Canis lupus familiaris: one gene and its partner. The protein of the gene in region 1 purifies or fractionates together with the protein of each later gene. This does not show direct contact. Links are inferred from orthologs where the notes say so. Each region holds a gene or a part of one and is shown in the gene's direction. Other genes may lie near its edges.

Region 1 (10,635 bases):
CACAGAGAGAGAGAGAGAGGCAGGGACATAGGCAGAGGGAGAAGCAGGCTCCATGCACCGAGAGCCCGACATGGGATTCGATCCCGGGTCTCCAGGATCGCGCCCTGGACCAAAGGCAGGCGCCAAACCGCTGCGCCACCCAGGGATCCCTGGATTGAAATTTTTACTTGGTGTGGAGCCCTGAGAGAATAAGCTTTGTAATGGCATTTATTCTTGAATAAGGTGTGATGTTAGCTGTTGATGCTGTAATTGCTGAACTTAAGAAGCAGTCTAAACCCGTGACAACCCCTGAAGAAATTGCACAGGTAAGGATTTTTCATATTTTATGATAAATGTGATTTTATTCCATAATCCTATACCAGTGTCAGAATAATGATATCACCCAGTCACTTGACATGGAAAGCATTTCTTCTTCCTGCTTAAAAAACATCTGAAAATAATGCAGTGACCATAACTAGAGTCTTAGTGGTCACTTTAATTTTACATGGCTGTGAGTAAAACTCATTTGTTTGTATGGAAGATGTTCTTCAGCCATTTGTCAAAAGGTGCATAATTTTTGTCATGTTAGAATATTGCCACTTTTTCCAAGAAGGGGGGATATTCTCCCTTTTTTTAAAAAAAAAGAATGATATGTTTATTTTATTTCTTTTAAAAATAATGTAGCCAAATGGTAAGTTTAAAAATAATTGTTAGATCTCTTAGAACACATCTGCTTGTCCATAGGTTCCCCCTGCCCCAATATATCAGTTTTGAAGTTACTAGGAAAAGGGAGGGGAGCTGACTGAGGATGCTGGCCTTATCTTTGTAACTTGGAAGAGTAACTTGATTGTTTTAGGTTGCTACGATTTCTGCGAATGGAGACAAAGAAATTGGCAACATCATTTCTGATGCAATGAAAAAGGTTGGAAGAAAGGGTGTCATCACAGTAAAGGTAAGTGTTTTTAATGATAGCTTGAGATGAGTTGTCTGATCAAAACAGTTTTCAAATAGAAAAATTGATGTGTTTCATGCTTGATTCCTTTATGCATGTTTTAGCATTCACATAGACTAGAGTATTTCCTGAATTGTGTGTGAATTTTTTATTTTATTTTATTTTATTTTATTTTATTTTATTTTATTTTATTTTTTATAAACTTTATCACTTTATTTTATTTTTTTTAAATTTTTATTTATTTATGATAGTCACACAGAGAGAGAGAGAGGCAGAGGCACAGGCAGAGGGAGAAGCAGGCTCCATGCACCGGGAGCCCGATGTGGGATTCGATCCCGGGTCTCCAGAATAGTGCCCTGGGCCAAAGGCAGGCGCTAAACCGCTGCGCCACCCAGGGATCCCTGTGTGAATTTTTTAACCTTCCCTGTGAGGGAGGAATCCGTTGTAACTTAAGTAATACTATTCTTCTAGATGTAAAAATTTAAAAATGCATTTTTGAAATTTTTGCAAAATTGCAGTTTGATCCCCTAGGGTATTTGCATACTTACACGCCTGGATCCCTTGTGATCAGTGCGGTCTCCTAATCTGGTCTATAATTACAACTTTTTGTGTTTCTGTAATGAAATTCATACAGCTAATTGATTTTTATAGGATGGAAAAACACTGAATGATGAATTGGAAATTATTGAAGGCATGAAGTTTGATCGAGGCTATATTTCTCCATACTTTATTAATACGTCGAAAGGTAAGAACAAGTCAGTAAATGAAATTTAAAAAAATATACAGGTTGCCATGGGTCACACTGTAAGCATTAATCAGGTCATACTTCTAAAAGATAAACTTAGGTATCCCAAAAGTTATTGTAAATGAGAAATGAAGGGGAAAACATGAACTCAGTCACTTGAGATGTACTAAAACTTTGGTTTCTAGTTTTTTCACTTAACTAAATTGCAGTTATTTTCAGGATATTGTTATAATGTCTTAAATTGGTTTGAAATGTTTATTTTTGCAGGTCAGAAATGTGAATTCCAAGATGCCTATGTTCTATTGAGTGAAAAGAAGATTTCTAGTGTCCAGTCCATTGTACCTGCTCTTGAAATTGCCAATGCTCACCGTAAGCCCTTGGTCATAATTGCTGAAGATGTTGATGGAGAAGCTCTGAGTACACTTGTTTTAAATAGGTAATAGGCTTTCGTATTTGGTTTACATTTCCAGATGAAAGGAAGTTTTTTTATATTGGTGTTTGAAATCCTCTTTTTGTACCCCCACATTGCACCACTTGTGTTAGCATATATACAGGTATGCTTTGTGAGCTCTGTTAAAATGGTTTGTTCTTTTTGAATGAGTTCTGTTTGAAAGTCCTTAATATTTTGTGCAAGTTTTTCATAAGACAGCCTAATTTTGAATGTGATACCTATTTTTTAATTATAACTATTGGTTTTTTTCAATTTTAGGTCAAAACGTATTTAGTTACATAATCTGTTAAAATTTTAAGGGTGGCTCAATGGTTGACTGTCTTTGGCTCAGACTGTGATCCCGAGGTCCTGAGATCAAATCCTGCATCAGGCTCCCCACAGGGAGCCTGCTTCTCCCTCTGCTGAGAGGGAGAGGGTCTCTGCCTCTGTGTGTCTCATGAATAAAGCAAATCTCAAAACTTTTTTTTTAAGTTTTTTTTTTTTTTTTAATTTACGATAGTCAGAGAGAGAGAGAGAGAGAGAGGCAGAGACATAGGCAGAGGGAGAAGCAGGCTCTGTGCACTGGGAGCTCGACATGGGATTCGATCCCGGGTCTCCAGGATTGTGCCCTGAGCCAAAGGCAGGCGCTGAACCGCTGCGCCACCCAGGGATCCCAAAACTTTTTTTTTTTTTTTTAAGAGTTTATTTATTTATTCATGAGGCACAGAGAGAGGGAGAAGTAGGCTCCATGCAGGGAGCCCGATGTGGGACTCGATCCTGGGACCACAGGATCAGCCCTGGGCTGAAGGTAGGCGCTCAGCTGCTGAGCCACCCAGACATCCCATCAAAGGACATTTTAATTAATGGTCTGAAATAGAGAATTTGACATTCAATCTAAGATAAAGTCTCTTCGCTTAATTTTTTAAACTATAATATATGATTTTTTACTTTACGACTAGTAGCTCCTGCTATAAAAGTGTTAGGGCCTTACTGTGGTGCATGGCTGTCTCCGTCAGAAGAGCATGTGACTCTTGATCTTGATTTGATTGTGAGTTCGAGTCCCACATGGGTGTGGAGATTAAATTTTAAGAAAGAATATTAGAACGTTTTTAAAATACATATTCTTCCTATTCCTAGAATTGAGGTATATTAGAAGTAATAATTTTTTTTGAAGATTATATTTATTCAGGAGAGACACAGGCAGAGGGAGAAGCAGGCTCCATGCAGGGAGCCCGATGTGGGACTTGATCTCGGGACTCCAGGATCACGCCCTGGGCTGAAGGCAGCACTAAACCGCTGAGCCCCCTGGGCTGCTCTAGAAGTAATAATTTTCCAATTGTAATGGAAATGGACAAATGAAATAGTTATATGGGAGAGTGCATACCTTGACACAAAAGCTCCGAATGAGTTGACTTATCCTTGAATGTTTGTTAGCTTGGATTTGCTTTTTGGGTTATGAAAAGCTTTATGAGATTGTGGGATTTTAAGTCAAAATAAATTAAAAAAAAAATAGACCTCCAGAGTTTCATTGAGCCATCTACTGGTGTCTGTAGCTTTGGATGGCTGATTGATTTGGCATACTATGTTTATCTGTCCCTCTGATTTTTATTTGGCCCTTTAATAAAATAGACCAACTCTGTCTTTAACAGTTTAAATACTCCTTTTTCACACAGTGTGGTCTCAAGTGGACATTCCTTTGATTATATATTCCAGATATTCATTACATGATAAAATCGCAGGTGAACTTAATGCTATTTATCAGCAACACTTATATATGTAAAGGAACTGAATTAAGAACACTGCTCAAACTTCAGTAGTAACTTGATCCATTACTAAATAGAACAAATAGGGTATAGTTATCACTGTAGTTAACTTAAAAGTTTTTTGTTTATGTTAGCATTTATTTCCTGGGTTCAGTTTAACCGTAAGGTCAACAATTTTTGACAAAGGTAATGGCAAATATGGATGAATGGAAAGTTGCTCTTTCATGTCTTAATTTGACTAAAAGTTGGTAGGAAGCAAAAAATTGTAAAGTGTGGTTTCCAGGGGTGCCTGGGTGGCTTAGTCAGTTATATGTCTGCTTTCAGCTCAGATCATGGTCCTCGGGGGTCCTGGGATTGAGCCCCATGTTGGGTGCCTCACCCCCCCACCCCCATTCATGTGCTCGCTTTCTTTTTTTAAAGAGATTTGATTTATTTATTCATGAGAGAGAGAGGCAGAGACATAGGCAGAGAGGGGAAGCAGGCTCCTTGCAAGGAGCCTGATGTGGGACTCAATCCCAGGACCCCGGGATCACACCATGAGCCACCGAGCCACCCAGGCGTCCCATCACTCTTTCAAATAAATAAAACCTTTTTTAAAAAAAGTGTGGTTTCCTAAGTAATCTTAGTACTAAGAACTTTAATTAACTTTAAATCTCATTCTTATTGTTCTTAACAGGCTAAAAGTCGGTCTTCAGGTTGTGGCAGTCAAAGCTCCAGGTTTTGGTGACAATAGAAAGAACCAGCTTAAAGATATGGCTATTGCTACTGGTGGTGCAGTAAGTAAAATATATGTGATGTTGGTTTACTGAATGTTATATACTTCCAGGCCTAAAATTTATAGGTAGATTTTAGGTTTTTCACAATCATTTATTATTAACTATTCATTTTTGTTTCTGTTGGATGTTTTCGAGGTAAAGGTTTGATTAAATGTGCCCAGGTCCCTTCTCTAACTTGCTATGAGTCTAGCCCAAGAATAGGATTATTTGACTAATCTGTGTTCAATACAATAGAAAAGACATAGGACTTAATTGTTTAGGTCTAAGGTCTAGTCCTGGTTCCACCAAAAGTGTGACCTCAGGGGAATTGAGTTTATACTTTTCTGAAATAAAGCTAATTAATTCTGATTGAGGATTAAGTGAGAAGTGGGAAATGCAGTGAAAAACCTGATCAAGTCTTCTCTGGACTAGACGTTGTCTTGAAATTTCACATTTCAAAGAAATACAGTATTCTAAGATGTTTATCTCCTCAAAAAACCCACCTGATGTATTACTGATAAACTTGGTATAATGAAAAACCAAGCTGCAACGGGTTCATTTTTAAATATTTTTGTAGGTGTTTGGGGAAGAAGGGTTGACTCTAAATCTCGAAGATGTTCAGCCTCATGACTTAGGAAAAGTTGGAGAGGTCATTGTGACCAAAGATGATGCCATGCTTTTAAAAGGAAAAGGTGACAAGGCTCAAATTGAAAAACGTATTCAAGAAATCATTGAGCAGTTAGATATCACAACTAGTGAATACGAAAAGGAAAAGCTGAATGAGCGTCTGGCAAAACTCTCAGATGGAGTAGCTGTGTTGAAGGTAAGATTCATTGTTGTAAATGAGTTTCTTGGGTTCTGAACCCAAGAATGATTTTGTTTCTGTGGTACTCTCCAATAGTGCCGTGTAACCAAAAGGTTTTGGGAAATAACTTTGTCATGGAGATATATATTATATAAAATTTTTTTGGAATACTCCCCTTAAAGCCAGAAGTGAACTTGGTATTGCTAAGGAAAAAGGTGTTTTGTTAATGATAGTGTGTTGGACTGATGTGAGACACTGCACTGACCCTATTAGCTCTTTAATCATGCAGTCACTTTTAACAAATAGGCGACCTTTTTTTTACATGTTTTTAAGTGAACTCCGTGCTTTTCAGTGACTCTTGCCAGTCAGCATCTTGAATGGGCAAAACCCATACTAACTGGAATTCTTTTAATCATTAGGTTGGTGGGACAAGTGATGTTGAAGTGAATGAAAAGAAAGACCGAGTTACAGATGCCCTCAATGCCACAAGAGCTGCTGTTGAAGAAGGCATTGTTCTGGGAGGAGGTTGTGCCCTGCTTCGGTGCATTCCAGCCTTGGATTCAATAACTCCAGCTAATGAAGATCAAAGAATTGGTAAAATTGCCTTTCATGAGTTGATTTGCAACCTGATTTTAGTCTTTCAGAATGCAGTTGCCCATTAAATAGAACAATAAACCACAAAGATTCCAGAATAACATTAGAAGAGCACTGATAATTAGAAAATAAATGAAAGATGCAGTCATGTCCAGGGGGAATGATTTGACCTGTGGACAAATAGAATTTTAATTTTTACAAAAGAATGAAACTGGGGATGCCTGGGGAGGCTCAGCGGTTGGGCATCTGCCTTTGGGTCAGGGTGTGATCCAGGTCGACTGGGGATCCAGTTGCGCATGGGACTCCCTGCAGGAGGCCTGCATCTCCCTCTGCCTGTGTTTCTGCCTTTGTCTCTCATGAATAAGTAAAATCTTAAAAAAAAGAAAAAAAGAAACTATAATTTGCTAAACTTTATCTTTAGGTATCGAAATTATTAAGAGAACACTCAAAATTCCTGCAATGACCATTGCTAAGAATGCAGGTGTTGAAGGATCATTGATAGTTGAGAAAATTATGCAGAGTTCCTCAGAAGTTGGTTATGATGCTATGCTTGGAGATTTTGTGAATATGGTGGAAAAAGGAATCATTGATCCAACTAAGGTAAATAGTTGATCATTTTCTAAAAGTCTTGTTCATTTTTCACTAAGGAAAAAGGTAATATATTTATCAAACTTCTTTCTTAGGTGGTAAGAACTGCTTTATTGGATGCTGCTGGAGTGGCCTCTCTGTTAACCACGGCAGAAGTTGTAGTCACCGAAATTCCTAAAGAAGAGAAGGACCCAGGAATGGGTGGAATGGGTGGAATGGGAGGTGGTATGGGAGGCGGCATGTTCTGATTCCTAGAATAGTGCTTTACCATTCTTAATGAACTGTGAGAGGAAGCTCAAGGCTGTGTTCCTCAACCATAACTTCAGAGAAGTCAGTTCAAGGAAATGACTGAAGAAAAGGCTGGCTGATGTTTAAGAAAATCGCTATAACCATCAGTTACTGGTTTCAGTTGACAACATATAATGGTTTACTGCTGTCATTGTCCATGCCTACAGATAATTTATTTTGTATTTTTGAATAAAAAGACATTTGTACATTCCTGATAACTGAGTGCAAGAGCCATGTACCAATGTACTGCTTTCAACTTAAATCACTGAGGCATTTTTACTACTATTCTGTTAAAATCAGGATTTTAGTGTTTGCCATCACCAGATGAAAAGTTAAGCAGCCTTTCTGTGGAGAGTAAGAATAATTGTGTACAAAGTAGAAAAATATCCAATTATGTGACAACCTTTGTGTAATAAAAATTTGTTTAAAGTTAATTGTGTTAGCCTTTCCATGATCTAGAAGATAAATGAAAGCCAGTGGATGGAGGGGTAGAGTTTGGCACAAGTGTGTAAAACATTATTCTACCTGGAGTAGTCTCCTGTTTCTCTTTGCTAAAGACGATTATATTACAACATAGGTAATGGGAAGTTCCTGTGGGGACAGTATTTTGTGTGTTGAGGTCTTTGTCCCTTCTTATGGAGGTTATAATTCCTGCTTCAAAGCCTCCACATAATAAGAAATGGGTTCCTGGAACACCTGTCTGGCTCAGTTGGAAGAGCATGGGACTTGATCTTGGGTTTGTGAGTTTGAACCCCACACTGCATGTAGAGATTATAAGAAAAAAAATGGGTTCCTGTTAGGTGAGAAGGGAAGAGTTTGTAGTAGGAGTGTACTAAGTGGAAAGGAGAGAGGTGTGCCTTTCAAGCATCATTAGTAGTGGGGAAGGGCATCCTTACTTGATAGGCCTGGCCTGATCCAGTATCTTTACCTTTATTAAGAATTTAAGGCAGGGGCAGCCCGGGTGGCTCAGCGGTTTAGCGCCGCCTTCAGCCCAGCGCTTGATCCTGGAGACCCCGGATCGATGGAAATGTGGCTTTTTTAAATTTTTGTGTGTGTGTGGCTTATTTTTAAAACTGGCTGAATGCATGTTTGGGGCAAAATGAGTTTTAAAACATAACTTTGTTTTCTAGATTTACTACATTATAAATTGAAAGCACAAGATCATGTTTAACATCTACATTCTTGCTTTCACCTGTGCCAAAGGACCTAGTCTGCTGCTCAGTTTGGCCTTGGGGCTGCCGTTTTAGAGACTGGGATAAGCTACGGTTTAAGGCAAATGCCCTTGGTATGCAAAGCTCAGACAAAAGGAAAAATAATCACAGATCAAAAGCCAGTCACTTGAAATTTGCACCTAGAACTACCTGTGCTTTGCCCAGGTTAGAAACAGAATGACAACAGATTAAAGGGGACTAAATAAAAGGCATTTTAAGTAAGCAAGACATGCCTAGAATATAGTTTTGCCTGTAGAAGTAGCAAAAGGCAAAGCAATATCAAACGTTAGAGAAAGGGTTTATATAGTTAATTACCTTAAAGGCCAAGCTAAGTGATTATAAGAAAAGGTAAGAGATGAAAAACACCTGGACTTTAAAAGATTAGAGCACGGCCAGCCTAAAGACACGAGCAGAGGAAAAAATTAGTGTTCTGTGCTAGACACTGAACTAAATACTTGGTTTAAGTCCGGAACCTTGGATTAGGGACTCCTTACTAAACCTATGCCACACGAAGTAAATAGGCTGAAAGGTTAAGTAGCTTATACAAAGTCTCCGAGCTATTAGGTGGTAAACCTCCGATGGGAGCTGGGTATGAAGAGCTTACGTTCTTAGACCGAAGAGCCAGGCTGGAATGAACCCCTAAGCCAGGATCTAGGCAGTCGTAAACCCCCTTGAAAGCGGTAGCCAGAGACGTCCATACATTAGGAACCCAACTCTATCTTCTATCCATCACTTACCTTCCAGAATGCCGGTAGCTAGCCAGCATTTCTACTCCCGTATTTCTCTAGGACTAGAGAGAATCATGTAGTAAAACAAAGACTTCTGATTCTGAGAGTCCCTCCGATGAAAAGGGTGGCTCCCCCGATCGCTGTACAGTGAAATTCCGCAGCCAATACACTCGTCCCTTGCTTTCAAATATTCATGGACAAACCACCATTAAACAAGCCTCAACATGAAGAATAGCAAAACCAAAAGGGATCTAGGAGAAACTTCTTTTTTTAGAGATTTTATTCATGAGAGACACCGAGCGAAAGGTAGGGACACAGGGAGAGGGAGAAGCAGGCTCCCTGCAGGGAGCCCGATGCGGGACTCAATCCCAGGACTCTGGGATCTCATGCCCTGGGCCAAAGGCAGACACTCAACCACTAAGCCACCCAGGCATCCCTAAATCATAGTATCTTAAAGATGAGATCCTGCTGCCATAAACCAAGGAAGCTAACAAAAAGGAACAATTAGAAAACATTATTGGAAATTAACTAAAACTATGACAAAGGACCTGGAAAATAGAACTGAAATCTAACAGGTGGAACAGGCCTTTCACGAAGATGGCGCCGAAGGCGAAGAAGGAAGCCCCTGCCCCTCCCAAAGCTGAAGCCAAAGCAAAGGCTTTGAAAGCTAAGAAAGCGGTGCTGAAAGGCGTGCACAGTCACAAAAAAAAAGAGGATCCGCACGTCACCTACATTCCGACGACCAAAGACCCTGCGTCTCGGAAGGCGGCCCAAATATCCTCGAAAGAGCGCCCCCAGGAGAAACCAGCTTGATCACTCTGCCATCATCAAGTTCCCCTTAACTACTGAGTCAGCCATGAAGAAAATAGAAGACAACAGCACACTTGCGTTCATCGTGGATGTCAAGGCCAATAAGCACCAGATCAAACAGGCTGTGAAGAAGCTCTATGACATTGATGTGGCCAAGGTCAACACCTTGATCAGGCCTGATGGAGAGAAGAAAGCATATGTTCGACTGGCTCCTGACTATGATGCTTTGGATGTTGCCAACAAAATTGGGATCATCTAAACGGAGTCCAGCCAGCTATAAATCTAAATATAAATTTTTTCACCATGAAAAAAAAAAGGTGGAACAAAAACATGGAAAATAGGAAAAACTAGATTTAATATGAGGGAGGTCGAATGTCTAGTTAGGAATACCTGAATGATGGACCCAGAGAATACGGAGAGGAGATTCCTCAGGGTTCAAGTAACTGAGTCTAAATGAAAGGCCCATAATTAGGACCAGGCAAGGGGCATAGGAGCATGCAATTTCAGACTACCCAGGATAGGTAAAGAGTCGATTTTAAAAGCTTCCAGAGGGATGCCTGGGTGGCTCAGCAGTTGAGCGGCTGCCTTCAGCTCAGGGCGTGATCCCAGGCCCTGGGATCGAGTCCTATATCGGGCTTCCTGCATGGAGCCTGCTTCTCCCTCTGCCTGTGTCTCTGCCTTTCTGTGTCCCTCATGAATAAATAAAATCTTAAAAAAAAATAAAAGCTTCCAGAGACCAAAAAAATGGACGCTACACAAAGCCCTGGGATTAACAACGGTGTAAGGTTTTTCAAGAATAGCATGTGACGCCAGGATACAATGAAATCAGAGCTTCAAACTGGGATAAGAGGAGGGAGGATATTAACTAATGTAGAGTTCTAAGGTCAAGTACTGTTTTTTTTTTTGTTTTTAAAGATTTTATTTATTCATGAGAGACACAGAGAGAGAGAGGCAGAGACAAAGGCAGAGGGAGAAGCAGGCTCCATG
Region 2 (10,635 bases), on another chromosome or scaffold:
TTGCTTACTATTTTTAGTAACCGGAGTGTTAACATGTAGGCATTCACCTACTGTGGGGTATTTTTTGATGTTTGTTATTTTTACTATTAGGTTTAATGCATCAATTATACCTGTGCTCATACCCTTGTGTACTTCTGGGGATGTTTCTGTAGGATGGGTTTCTACAATCAGAATAGGATAGACTGGAAAATCTTAAATAAAGATGAAACTCTGAAATATTGATGAGGCATATGTTTTATTTTATTTTATTTTTTTTGTTTTTTTTTTTTGTTTTATTTTTTAATGAGTTGAAAATCACATAACCATAAAATTAAACATTTTGAAGTGTACAATTCATTAGCATTTAATATATTTCCCAGTGTTGTGCAACTACTACCTCAGTCTGATTCCAGAACATTTTCATCACCCCAAAGGAAAACTGTACCCACTAATCAGTTAACCCCTGGTACACAACCCTGGGGAACCACTGATCCTTTTACTGTCTCCATGGTTTTGTCTTTTCCAGAATTTCAGAGTTGGACTCATACATATGCAGCCTTTTCAGACTGACTTCCATCAGTTAGATGCCTTTAAGTTTCTTCCACGTCTTTTTATGCCTTCATAGCTCACATCTTTTTAGTGTTGAATAATATTCCCTTGTGTGGCTGGGCCTTAGTTATCCATTCATCTACTAAAGGACATCTTGGCCGCTTCTGTGTTTTGGCAATTATGAACAAAGCTGCTATAAACATCCACATGCGATATTTTTGCATGGACATGACTTTTCAGCATCTTTGGTAAATACCAAGGAACATGAGTGCTGGATTGTATGGTCGGTGCATGTTTAGTGCCTTTCAATGTGGCTGTACCACTTTCTATTTCCACCAGCAGTGAGTAAGAGCACGCAGCATTTGGTTTTGTCCATGTTCTAGAATTTGGCTGTTCTGATAGGTGTGTAATGGTATTGTGTTGTTTTAATGTGCAATTCCATGGTGACATATGATGTGGAGTATCTTTTCAAATGCTCATTTGCTACCTATGCATCTTCTTTGGTGAGCTGTCTACTCAGGTCTTTGGCCCATTTTTATTTTTTATTTTTTATTTATTTATTTATTTTTTCCATTTTTAAATTAGGTTGCTCATTTTCTTATTATTGAGTTTTAAGAATTTTTTGTATATTATGGATAACAATCCTTTATCAGATGTCTTTTGTAAATATTTTCTTCTTCTTTGAAAATATTGTCTTCTCATTTTCTTGACAGTGTCTTTCACAGAGCAGGGTTTTTCACTTTAATGAGGTCTAATATATTTTTCTTCCATGAATTGTGCCTTTGGTGTTATCTCTGAAAAGTCATTTGCTGCAACTCTTGCTCTGTGTAATAGCAGCAGAGGGGATCCCTGGGTGGCTCAGCGGTTTAGCGCCTGCCTTCGGCCCAGGGCCTGATCCTGGAGACTGGGGATCGAGTCCCACATTGGGCTCCCTGCATGGAGCCTGCTTCTCCTTCTGCCTGTGTCTCTGCCTCTCTCTCTCTCTCTCTCCCTCTGTCTCTCATGAATAAATAAATTAAATCTTTTTTAAAAAGCAGCAGAAACAAGTGGGGTGGGGGGGAGCTGTGGGGAAGCTGGGGTGGGGGAGCTGGTTGTTTAGAGGCCTCCATTTACTGGAGTGAAAATTGAGAATGATAGTGGTCTTTCTTTTAGGTGACTCATCTAGGATGCCAGAGAGGTGGTTTGCCAAATTAAATAAACCTGGAGTGTACAGTTTCTTTGAAGACAGTGTGGTGTCAGTTGTATAGTCATGAACATTTTCATCAGGCTTTTCTGTGCAAGCTTGAATCCTGTCCAGTCAGCAGGCTTAGGAAGAGGTACTGTAATCCTTTGGTGGAGATTTCTAGCGAGTTCTAGCACTTTGCCAAAACTTAGGCATCTGTTTCTCTCAATCCCTTTCAGGGTGCTCCCATTGAGCTGGTTTCATCCAGCGTTTGGTCTGACCCTCAGCAGCAAGCATGTGGACCAATTGATACAAATCTGAGAAATCAGATCAGTAAGTTTGAATAACTGTGTTAAATCTTCAGCAAACGTATAGGGTCCTCAGTCACTTTGGGAAATTGTTTCAGTACAGCTCCAAATTCAGCCTTAGTCCGGGCAGCATAAGCCATTTGGCATTCATTTGGACCTCCAGCAGAGTTTACTTTAGAGGGGTAGGTGTTAATAGGGTCAGGAGAGGAGGGGTGGGGAGAGGTTTGGAGATAAAGGGAAGCTCAGTGAAAGGATTAGAAGGAGGAATGGGTATAGGGGAGGGGAGGGCCAGTGCCAAAGGAAGAGGGAAAAGGCTCCAGAGGCAGGGCCCGAGTATAAGGTGGCCCCACCTGTCTGGAGACAAAGAGGATGGGAAGGGGAAGAGGCCTCAGAAGCCCCGTTGACTTCTTACAGTTGTTTGCCTCTTTGCAAAATACTATTTCTAAATTAACTGAGGCAAAACAAACTTTGAATCCTAAAAATGTTTGGAAGCCTTGAGGTACCAATTAAAATAAGCATCCAATTCAGTGTTGACAAGTTTCCAGCCATGGCTGTCCAATTCCATTGTGAGAAAAGTCAATTTGGGGAGATGGGAGGTTCCCCACGATGGCTGTTGAGGTTGTGAATGCCTTTTGGTTGAGTCAGTCCATTTAGTTAAGAATGCACACGAGGAGGGGCCACCATTCTGAAACCTAGAACTGGCTGAGGTCCCAGAAGTGTGGGGGCAAGGCCGTCCTCACAGCATTTTGATCGCTGGCATCCCACTTCCCAGAGGCTTTTCTCTAGAGGGAAGAGAACAATATCTAAACGGCACAGTTCCAGTAGGAACAGCCTAGCTTTAGAAAGGAGTCAGACCAAAGGCCAAACAAGTACTCTCAGGAAGGACAAAGCCTTAAAACAGGTCCTGAATAAAGGCTGGAGAGCTCAGAACAGAGAGTGAAGCTCATGTCCAGGAGACGACTTATTCTCAAACCCCAGGGCCGGCAAGAGAGCAGCAAGCCTGACCAGGTCTGTGGGGACCGGCACCTGTGTGTGTGCTCACCAGCCTCAGAGCCGCTGGAGGTAGCTGCCTGCGTCCCACTTCTGACACCAGGTAAAGTTTTCCTTAAAAATAACACTGCCTACTATTTTACCAACAAAATGGGTTTATTCAGGAGAGTGGAAAATTGTAATTTGGGACAAGCAAGCTATGACAAAACCGTAGGCACGTCCAAACAACAAAGGAGAGGGACATTTGATGGAGAGGAAGGAGTAGGGAGGGGCTTGAGAGACAGGTCTGGGGAATGATGGTGTCTCACCAGCTGATCGCTGGGGTAGCCAATTTGTTGTAGAGGGGGGGTGCACATCTTCCCCTGTTGGGACCTGCCGTTGATGGTTCTTCCTGTTGAGGGTTCTTCTGTTGGGTCTGTAGTTCACACTTCTTCGTGTGATTGATGTTTGAGCAGTAGGGCTCCTTCCGACCTCCTGAATCCACATTAGCAGGGTTTCCCTTTATTAATTTTCATAATGTCCAGCACCATTTGTTGAAGAGATGAGATTTGGTCCTTTGTCAAAGAAGAGTTGACTGTGTTTGTGTGAGGGTACTTCCAGCCTCTCTGTTCTGTTCCCCTGATCTATTCTTCTGCTCCCTACAATAGAGCCACAGTCCTGATTCCTGTGGCTTTTTATAATAAGTCTTGAAGTCAGATAGTGTCAGTCTTGTTCTTTGCCTCAATATTGTGTTGGCTATTCTGGTCTTTTGCTTTCCATATAAACTTTAGAATCAGTTTGTATCTGTTCTCTGCTTATTTTTAAATCTTTTCTCTTTGTCTTTGGAGTTTTAGAGTTTTACACTGTTACTGGGGTAACTCTCCATATGGATTTCCTTTTGTTTACTTATTCTGCTTAAAATTTATAGGGCTTTCTGAATCTGTGGTTTTCATCATTAGTGGAAAAATCCCTGGCTGTTGCCTCTCAGATGTCGATTGCATCTCCCACTCCCTCACCTCCCTTGTGGAGCTCTACTTAAACTCCCATGAGACCTCACGCTCCCACCCATGGCTCTTCTGTGTGTTCCATCTTGCTTCTCTGTGCTGTGTTCTGAATAATGTCTTTTGATCTATTTTCCAGTTTACCAACCTTCTATTCTGTTGTATAAAATAAGGTTCTTCCACTAAGTGCTAATTTTTGTTACTGTTTTTTGTTTGGAAAAGGTTTAATGAGATGTGAAACCTCAACCAGCTGTGGGCTCATTTCCAGATCTGAATTACTTGCCCCATTTTTTTCTTCCTAATTTTTATTTAAATTTAGTTAGTTAACATATATCACAGTATCAGTTTCAGGAGTACAACTTTGTGATTTATCACCTATATACAACACCCAGTGCTCATCACAATAATGCCTTCCTAATTTTTGTTACTTTTATTTCTAGAAGTTCTCTTTGGTTCTTTTTCAAATCCACTACATTATTTTTTATAGTTTTCTATCCCCAACAGATACTTCAAACCCTTTTTTTAAAAAAAAAGTTAAACACAAAATGGCCTTAATGTGTCTCTAATAGTATCTGAAGTCTCTGAGTAGTGTCTCCTTGGTCTGTTGTGTCTGCTGGTTCTGGCTGGGCTCAGCTTGCTAAGACAGGGCCAGGAAGGTTTGTCTTAGGAAGCTGTTGTCCTCGTTCTTAGGCTCCTTCCTTTGACACCCAGCCCAGCACATGAACACAGGCATCTTAGGGCAGAGCAGTGATTTGCGTCTACCTCACCTTGGCCTGCAAGCTAGTGGTCTGTGGCAACACTGCTTACAGCTCCTGCTTGAATGCCTTCCAGGTCTAGGGTGATGTCATGATCACTTCAATCAGGTACAAACTTTATACCAGCTTTCTCATTGAATCATGTTTAGTGTAGGCCAAATGCCTGCAGAGTACCTCCTGAGGACTGTGTCACATACTATTTCCTTAGCATCTGAATGTCTCTGATAAGCCCCTGAAGGGCACAGCCTGGCGTTACATGTGCTAGATATCATGGGCTCTTCAGGATGCACCTTCAAATACTCCAGTGTGTCCCCAGTTTCAGGGAGCCATTGAAACAAAATTGGCAAAATGTCAATAAATGCCAAATCTGGGTTCATTATTCAGCTGTTATGAATGTTTGAAAATTTCTTAGTAAAAGCAGTCTTTTTAAAAAGTTTTATTTAAATTAGGTAACGTACAGTGTTACATTAGTTTCAGGTGTACGATCTAGTGACTCACCTCCATACGTCGCCTGGTGCTCCTCACAGCAAGTGCACTCCCCACCCCGCCCCCTCCCGTCTGGCAGCCTGAGTATGTCGTGACATTGTCCTTGGCCTGTTGTCTATGTGTGTTGCACAGGCCGACGTGAGCATGGACAAGATCCCCCGCTGCCCAGTGTGCACTGGCGTTTTGAAGCCTGACATCGTGTTCTTTGGGGAGACACTGCCTCAGAGGTTCCTGCTGCATGTACTTGATTTCCCAATGGCAGATATGCTGCTCATCCTCGGGACCTCCCTGGAGGTTTGTCAGCAGGTCCAGTGGTGGACTGAGTGTGCAGGGGCAGGGGAGGCTATAAGGACAGGGCCGAGGAGGTGAGGCTGCTGGGGGTGGCACCAGCTGCTCTTGGAGCCTTCACATCTGGCGTCCTAGCTTCGGAAGATGAGTAGGTTCAACTGGTCGGGAAGCAGAGGTATTCCTGGCCAAGGGATTGGCAGTCTGGGCAGAATGGGGAAGAGGGAGGGTGCTCAGCTTTGGAGGCACCATCAGCATGGGTGGGGCACGGTGTGTAAGGGAAGGGAGGAAGGAGGGACCTGGAGAGTAGGGCAGGACAGACTTACCAGGCCACATCACAGAGGCTGGTTTTGTGCTAGAAGCGGTAGACTTGAAGTGGTTGAGCCAGGGGCTTAGCCAGTGCTCAAGGTCCCAGAACCTGCTGGGGAGTGGGGATTGAAGGAGATGCCTGGGAGGTGGGTTCTCATGAAGGTGAGGCTGTGGGCCCGGTCAGATCATCTGACCATGAGAGAGGGCAAAGAGAAGAACGGCTGGACTTGGGGACAGGAGATGGAGTGGTCTGGTTGTGTCTGTGGGCACTCAGGCCTTTTTTTGGTAACAAGGTATTTGGAGGGAGGGTTCCGAGCTCAGTTCTGTACAATTGTGTTTGAGGTACCTAGGACACACCTGTGGACACATTCTAGAAGCTGGTCTACCTCTAGATCTGAAGCTCAGGATGTGACAAGAGCAACAAACACGACCCTGTGATGAGCTCTGCCTGGTTGGGTGCTGGTGCCGAGGAGCAGAAGCGCCAGAAAGGCCTGTACTCTGTGGCCTGTGTGGTTGGCCACAGAGGCCTAGAGTTAGGTGCATTCATCCAGCAAATGCGCCCGCTGTGTGCCGGGCCCTGTTGTAGGGCCTTGGACAGACAATACGATGTTGCAAGCAAGTGACACAGTGTTAGGTGCTGACACATGGACAGGAAGGCTGGGAAGGGTTAGGAACTGATTGGGACATCAGCTTGGTTTCCATGACTGTCGGAAGGGGACCCCGGAGCTGAGGGCAGAAGGGGATGCACGTGTCAGCTGAGGGTGTCTGGCAGCAGGCACTGCGCAGTGGCCACAGCCACATGGAGTGAGCGAACAGAGGGCAACAGTGACAGGGTCTGACCTCCTGACCCCGCAGGTGTTGTGGCGGGGAGAGCTGCTGGAGACCCTGCAGGTGGTGGTCCGGGTGGCGATGGCGGGTGGCCAGGTAACGCCGCAGAGGGCAGTGTTCATACATCACATAGATCGAGGGCAAAGGAAGGAATCCCTCCACCCCCTCCAGCACTACGAGTGTTATGCGGTGTCCTCACAGCTTCTCTGCTGCACCTTGTGGTGACCTTTAACCAGAGGTGGGGCAGCACCATGCATAGAGACCAACTACCTTGTTAGCGCCCAGTGTCCCTGCTGGGACCCCCCAATCAGAGTGCTTGTCTCTAGCACCGAGTAATCTGCAGTATTGCTCCAACTTCATCTCATATGCTGTGTGGAAGAAATACTCAGCAATAAACTTGATTATTAATTGCCCCTCCAGATCCCACTGAGTTGTGACATAATAATTGTATATAAACCAAATGATGTTTTCTAAAATCTGAAATATTCTGAATTCTGGAACACACCTAGCCCCCAGAGTTTTAAGATAAGGGATGATGGATGAATAAGCAAATTTCTATTGATGGGCAACAAAAATAAAGTATATAGATTTTATATTAAAAATAATGATGTAGTGAATAACCAAGTGTACACATGTTCACACATTCATGTGAGTACCTCAGTAAATACTGAGAAGTTGCCTTCCAGAAAAATACACTACGTAAACTGTCACCAGTTGTATATGAGTGGCCATTTTCCTCATCCTCCCCAACAGCAAACATTACCTGTGTTTAAGTTTATCCATCTGATTTGGCTAGAAATTGTGTGTGTGTGTGAGAGAGAGAGAGGAAGAGAGGGAGATCTCACATTTCTGTAATATTGAAGTTCATCTTTTCATGTTTTATTAACCACTGTATTCTCTTTGGATTGAATATTTGTATCTCTTGCTCATTTTCATTCTTTTTTTTCTTAGTCATTAAATTAGCAATATAAATCCATAAATGATATAAAATGTTTAAAATTAGTTTAGCAATTAGCAATATTTGTCACATGTTGTAAAATGCTTGCAGTTTATGGTGATGAGGTTTAAAAATTATTTTCTACGTCGTATTTTTATGTAGATAATAATGTGATAGTATTATGTAGTCAGACCTATCATGACTTTCCTTTGTCTCATCTGACTTGACTTATCAGGCCTTAAGAGTCCTTTCCTACCTTTACTTATAAAACCTAAGTTTTCTTTAAGAATTGTTTTGTTTACATGTAAATCACGTAACATTTCTTTCACTCACCCGAAATTTTTTCAGCGAAGGCAGGAATTGAGCATTTTCCTCCCAGATAATAAGCCAGTCTCAATTATCTCTTTCTTATATTATTGCTTCTGAATGGAAATTTCACGTGGGAGCTGGATGAAGCAGCCCAAAGGCACCGAGTTGGGACTCCCTAGAAGTCTGAATAGTGGAGAGTGTGCAGAGGTGGGGCATCCACCCCTGTGGGTGCCCCAGGAGCCCCCTGTGAGCCCAGGTCCTTGCTCCCAAGGAGTGAGGGCAGACAGACGAGATGCTGCTGGGAGGAGACGTGTGTGGTGGGACAGGACAGATAAAAGAGGGCGCAGTTGCTGGACCCCAGATGCGCCTGGGCAGGGAGACCCGCAGAGGCCAGGAGTGTGGGAAGCAGAAGGACATGGACAGAGACATAGAGGGACCCAGGCCTAGAGCCCGGGCAGGCTGCGTGACTAGAAGGAAATGGTGGTGTATGTGCCCTGTATCCAAGGCCTTACCATCGGTCTGAGCTGCTCTTTCAAAGCCTCAGGCTGTGCATAACGTGTCCTGCGGGGCTTGGAGGACAGGGTGGGTGCTGGCCTCCTCACGTGTGGGCAATTTTTCAGGTAGAACCTTTCGCCAGCTTGTCTGAGGCTGTGCGGAGCTCAGTGCCCCGACTGCTCATCAACCGGGACGTGGTGGGGCCCTTTGCCTGGTGTCCTCGCAGCAGGGATGTGGTCCAGCTGGGGGATGTGGTTCACAGCGTGGAAAGGCTGGTGGAGCTTCTGGGCTGGAGAGAAGAGCTGCAGGACCTCATCCAGCAGGAAACCGAAAAGGTACAGACTGCAAGCAGGGTCCTCGCTGCTCTGGGGTCCAGGTGCCCCTGATGTGGAGCCCTAGCTGGCTAAGACAGTGACAGGAATAGCGCACATCGGTGTTAACCCAGTCCCGGCCACTGTCCGAGGCTGTCCGTGTGCTTATGAGAGCGACGCTGGCTGCCTGTTCCCCAGCGACGGAGCTGCGGTTGGGTGCGGGCAGACCGGCTGGGTCCTCTAAGTAAAGCACCGCCAGCAGCTAGCTCCAGGCTGAGTGTGGCTCGGAGATGAGCTTTGAGGAGCTGAACTTGTGTGTGCTGGTGTGGGGTGAAGCCCACCCTGGGAATGCACTCCTGTGATGATCACGAGAGCTGCTGGCCCGTATCGATCCGCTGTGGGTGCAAAGCCAAAGACGCTCGGTGCTCCTGAGGTTCCAAACCTGTTCCAAGTGAAGTTTCCCAGGAGAATCGGTTAGCATGCGTGGCCCTGGCGTGAGTGCTGATTTTCTAAAGGAGGCAGCATTAAGCTTTCGAAGTCCAGTCATCACTGAGGATCCTCATGTGACACCGCCCAGGGGGGCAGGGGTCTCGGGTCCGGGGTCAGGCCTTCCCCTCACCCTTCCGGGCAGAAGCCCCCAGCCTCTGGCTGCAGTCTGCTTTCTTACCAAGTTGAACCAAAGAAAGAATATAAGGCTTATTAAGGCCAGGAGACTTCCACACATTTTAGACATTGTGGCTGCTATTTTTTCTATCTCTCCATTCCAGAGTTTGGCTCTAATGGCTAAGATGTAGGCTGGTATCACCCCTTATCTTATTATAAATGTCAAAGTCATATTGCTGGATCATTTTAGGGAAGTAGAGAATGCAGGTAGCTCCGGAGCCTATACTTTGCACATCAGGAAGACAGGCAGCGGGTGCTTTGGTCAGATCCACCTAGCAGCTTCCTGGCTCTGACGTCCTATTTCCGTACAAGACTAAGCCAAGTGGCCCCCAAGGACTTTTGGAAGAAGTCCTACAGACTTTGGTCTGTGCGATTTTATAATCTTATGTGAAGATGTAATTAAAATCTTTATAATTTTATGTAAAGTGGGTTCTGGTTTTGGTTTACGCATACGAAGAGTTGCTATCCAATAGGAAATACCGAGGGATGAACTGCAGTCCACCTTGGGGTTAATTCCACAAATAATGCCTATTTTTGAGCTTGTGAGCTTCAGCACATCTCACCTGGTTACTTAAATGAAGCCCTGTGTTTTGCCGCCCAGCCCTGCTGGCATCGTGTTACTTGGGCTCAATGGCAGCATTGGCAGAGGCAGAAAAGCTTTTATTTGATTAAATAGTTGGAACCCAGGCCCTGAGATCTACAGGACTGATTCCCTTTCTCCTCCATGTTCCAGCTCGATGGACGGGACGGATAGGATCATGGCTGGTCCCCCACCCCTCCTGGGAACAGAAACGGTTCCAAGGAGTCACTGCCCACCTCTGAGTAAACAATTTTGGCTGAACCAGGACCGGTGGCCTGAGGAAGAGTGTGAGGCTGCCCAAGTCGTGTTCTGCTCACGCTGTGGGCCACCCCAATCATGGGTGCCAAGCTGCCGGCATCTTTCTGCTGTTTGACTCTTCAATCTGAAGCTCTTGATGCCAAACAAAAGCTTTCTTCTGACAGTGACCCTCTTGAACTCAGACCAGCAGGAAGCCCAGACTGAATCTGCTCAGTGTCCAGGTCTCCATCCGAAGGGCAGACTCAGCCTCTGTCCCTTAGACCTGGTCTTGGGCTGAGTGGCCACAGCTGTTCCCAAGGCGTGGTCCTGGGTCCGAAGTAATACAATAGGGTCCTATAGCCTGTTGGCCTCTTTTGTGGGGTTATCTTTAATTAGGGAAACATTGTTCATTTTTGGCATGAAATAAACACTGTGGTCTCCTCAAAGGGAATGTGAGTGTTGACAATGGATG

What was found.
Region 2: the proteins of HSPD1 (region 1) and SIRT3 purify together in Homo sapiens (affinity purification with mass spectrometry; 3 studies listed by BioGRID and IntAct, counting the BioPlex papers as one, with this or other methods). This does not show direct contact. The link is inferred for Canis lupus familiaris from reciprocal best matches to the Homo sapiens genes HSPD1 and SIRT3.

The regions. Positions count from the first base shown.
Region 1 is NC_049258.1:6,886,528-6,897,162, reverse strand, and holds the end of HSPD1 (60 kDa heat shock protein, mitochondrial), read left to right. Parts: intron 1-222; coding exon 223-305; intron 306-835; coding exon 836-931; intron 932-1,582; coding exon 1,583-1,676; intron 1,677-1,943; coding exon 1,944-2,112; intron 2,113-4,545; coding exon 4,546-4,645; intron 4,646-5,201; coding exon 5,202-5,447; intron 5,448-5,848; coding exon 5,849-6,023; intron 6,024-6,444; coding exon 6,445-6,623; intron 6,624-6,706; coding exon 6,707-6,859; 3' UTR 6,860-7,333; downstream 7,334-10,635. UniProt on the Homo sapiens protein: Chaperonin implicated in mitochondrial protein import and macromolecular assembly. Together with Hsp10, facilitates the correct folding of imported proteins.
Region 2 is NC_049239.1:25,721,342-25,731,976, reverse strand, and holds the end of SIRT3 (NAD-dependent protein deacetylase sirtuin-3, mitochondrial), read left to right. Parts: intron 1-1,789; exon of another isoform or gene 1,790-1,844; intron 1,845-1,929; exon of another isoform or gene 1,930-2,023; intron 2,024-2,976; exon of another isoform or gene 2,977-3,091; intron 3,092-5,341; coding exon 5,342-5,503; intron 5,504-6,153; coding exon of another isoform or gene 6,154-6,177; exon of another isoform or gene 6,178-8,491; intron 8,492-8,497; coding exon 8,498-8,707; intron 8,708-10,079; coding exon 10,080-10,100; 3' UTR 10,101-10,611; downstream 10,612-10,635.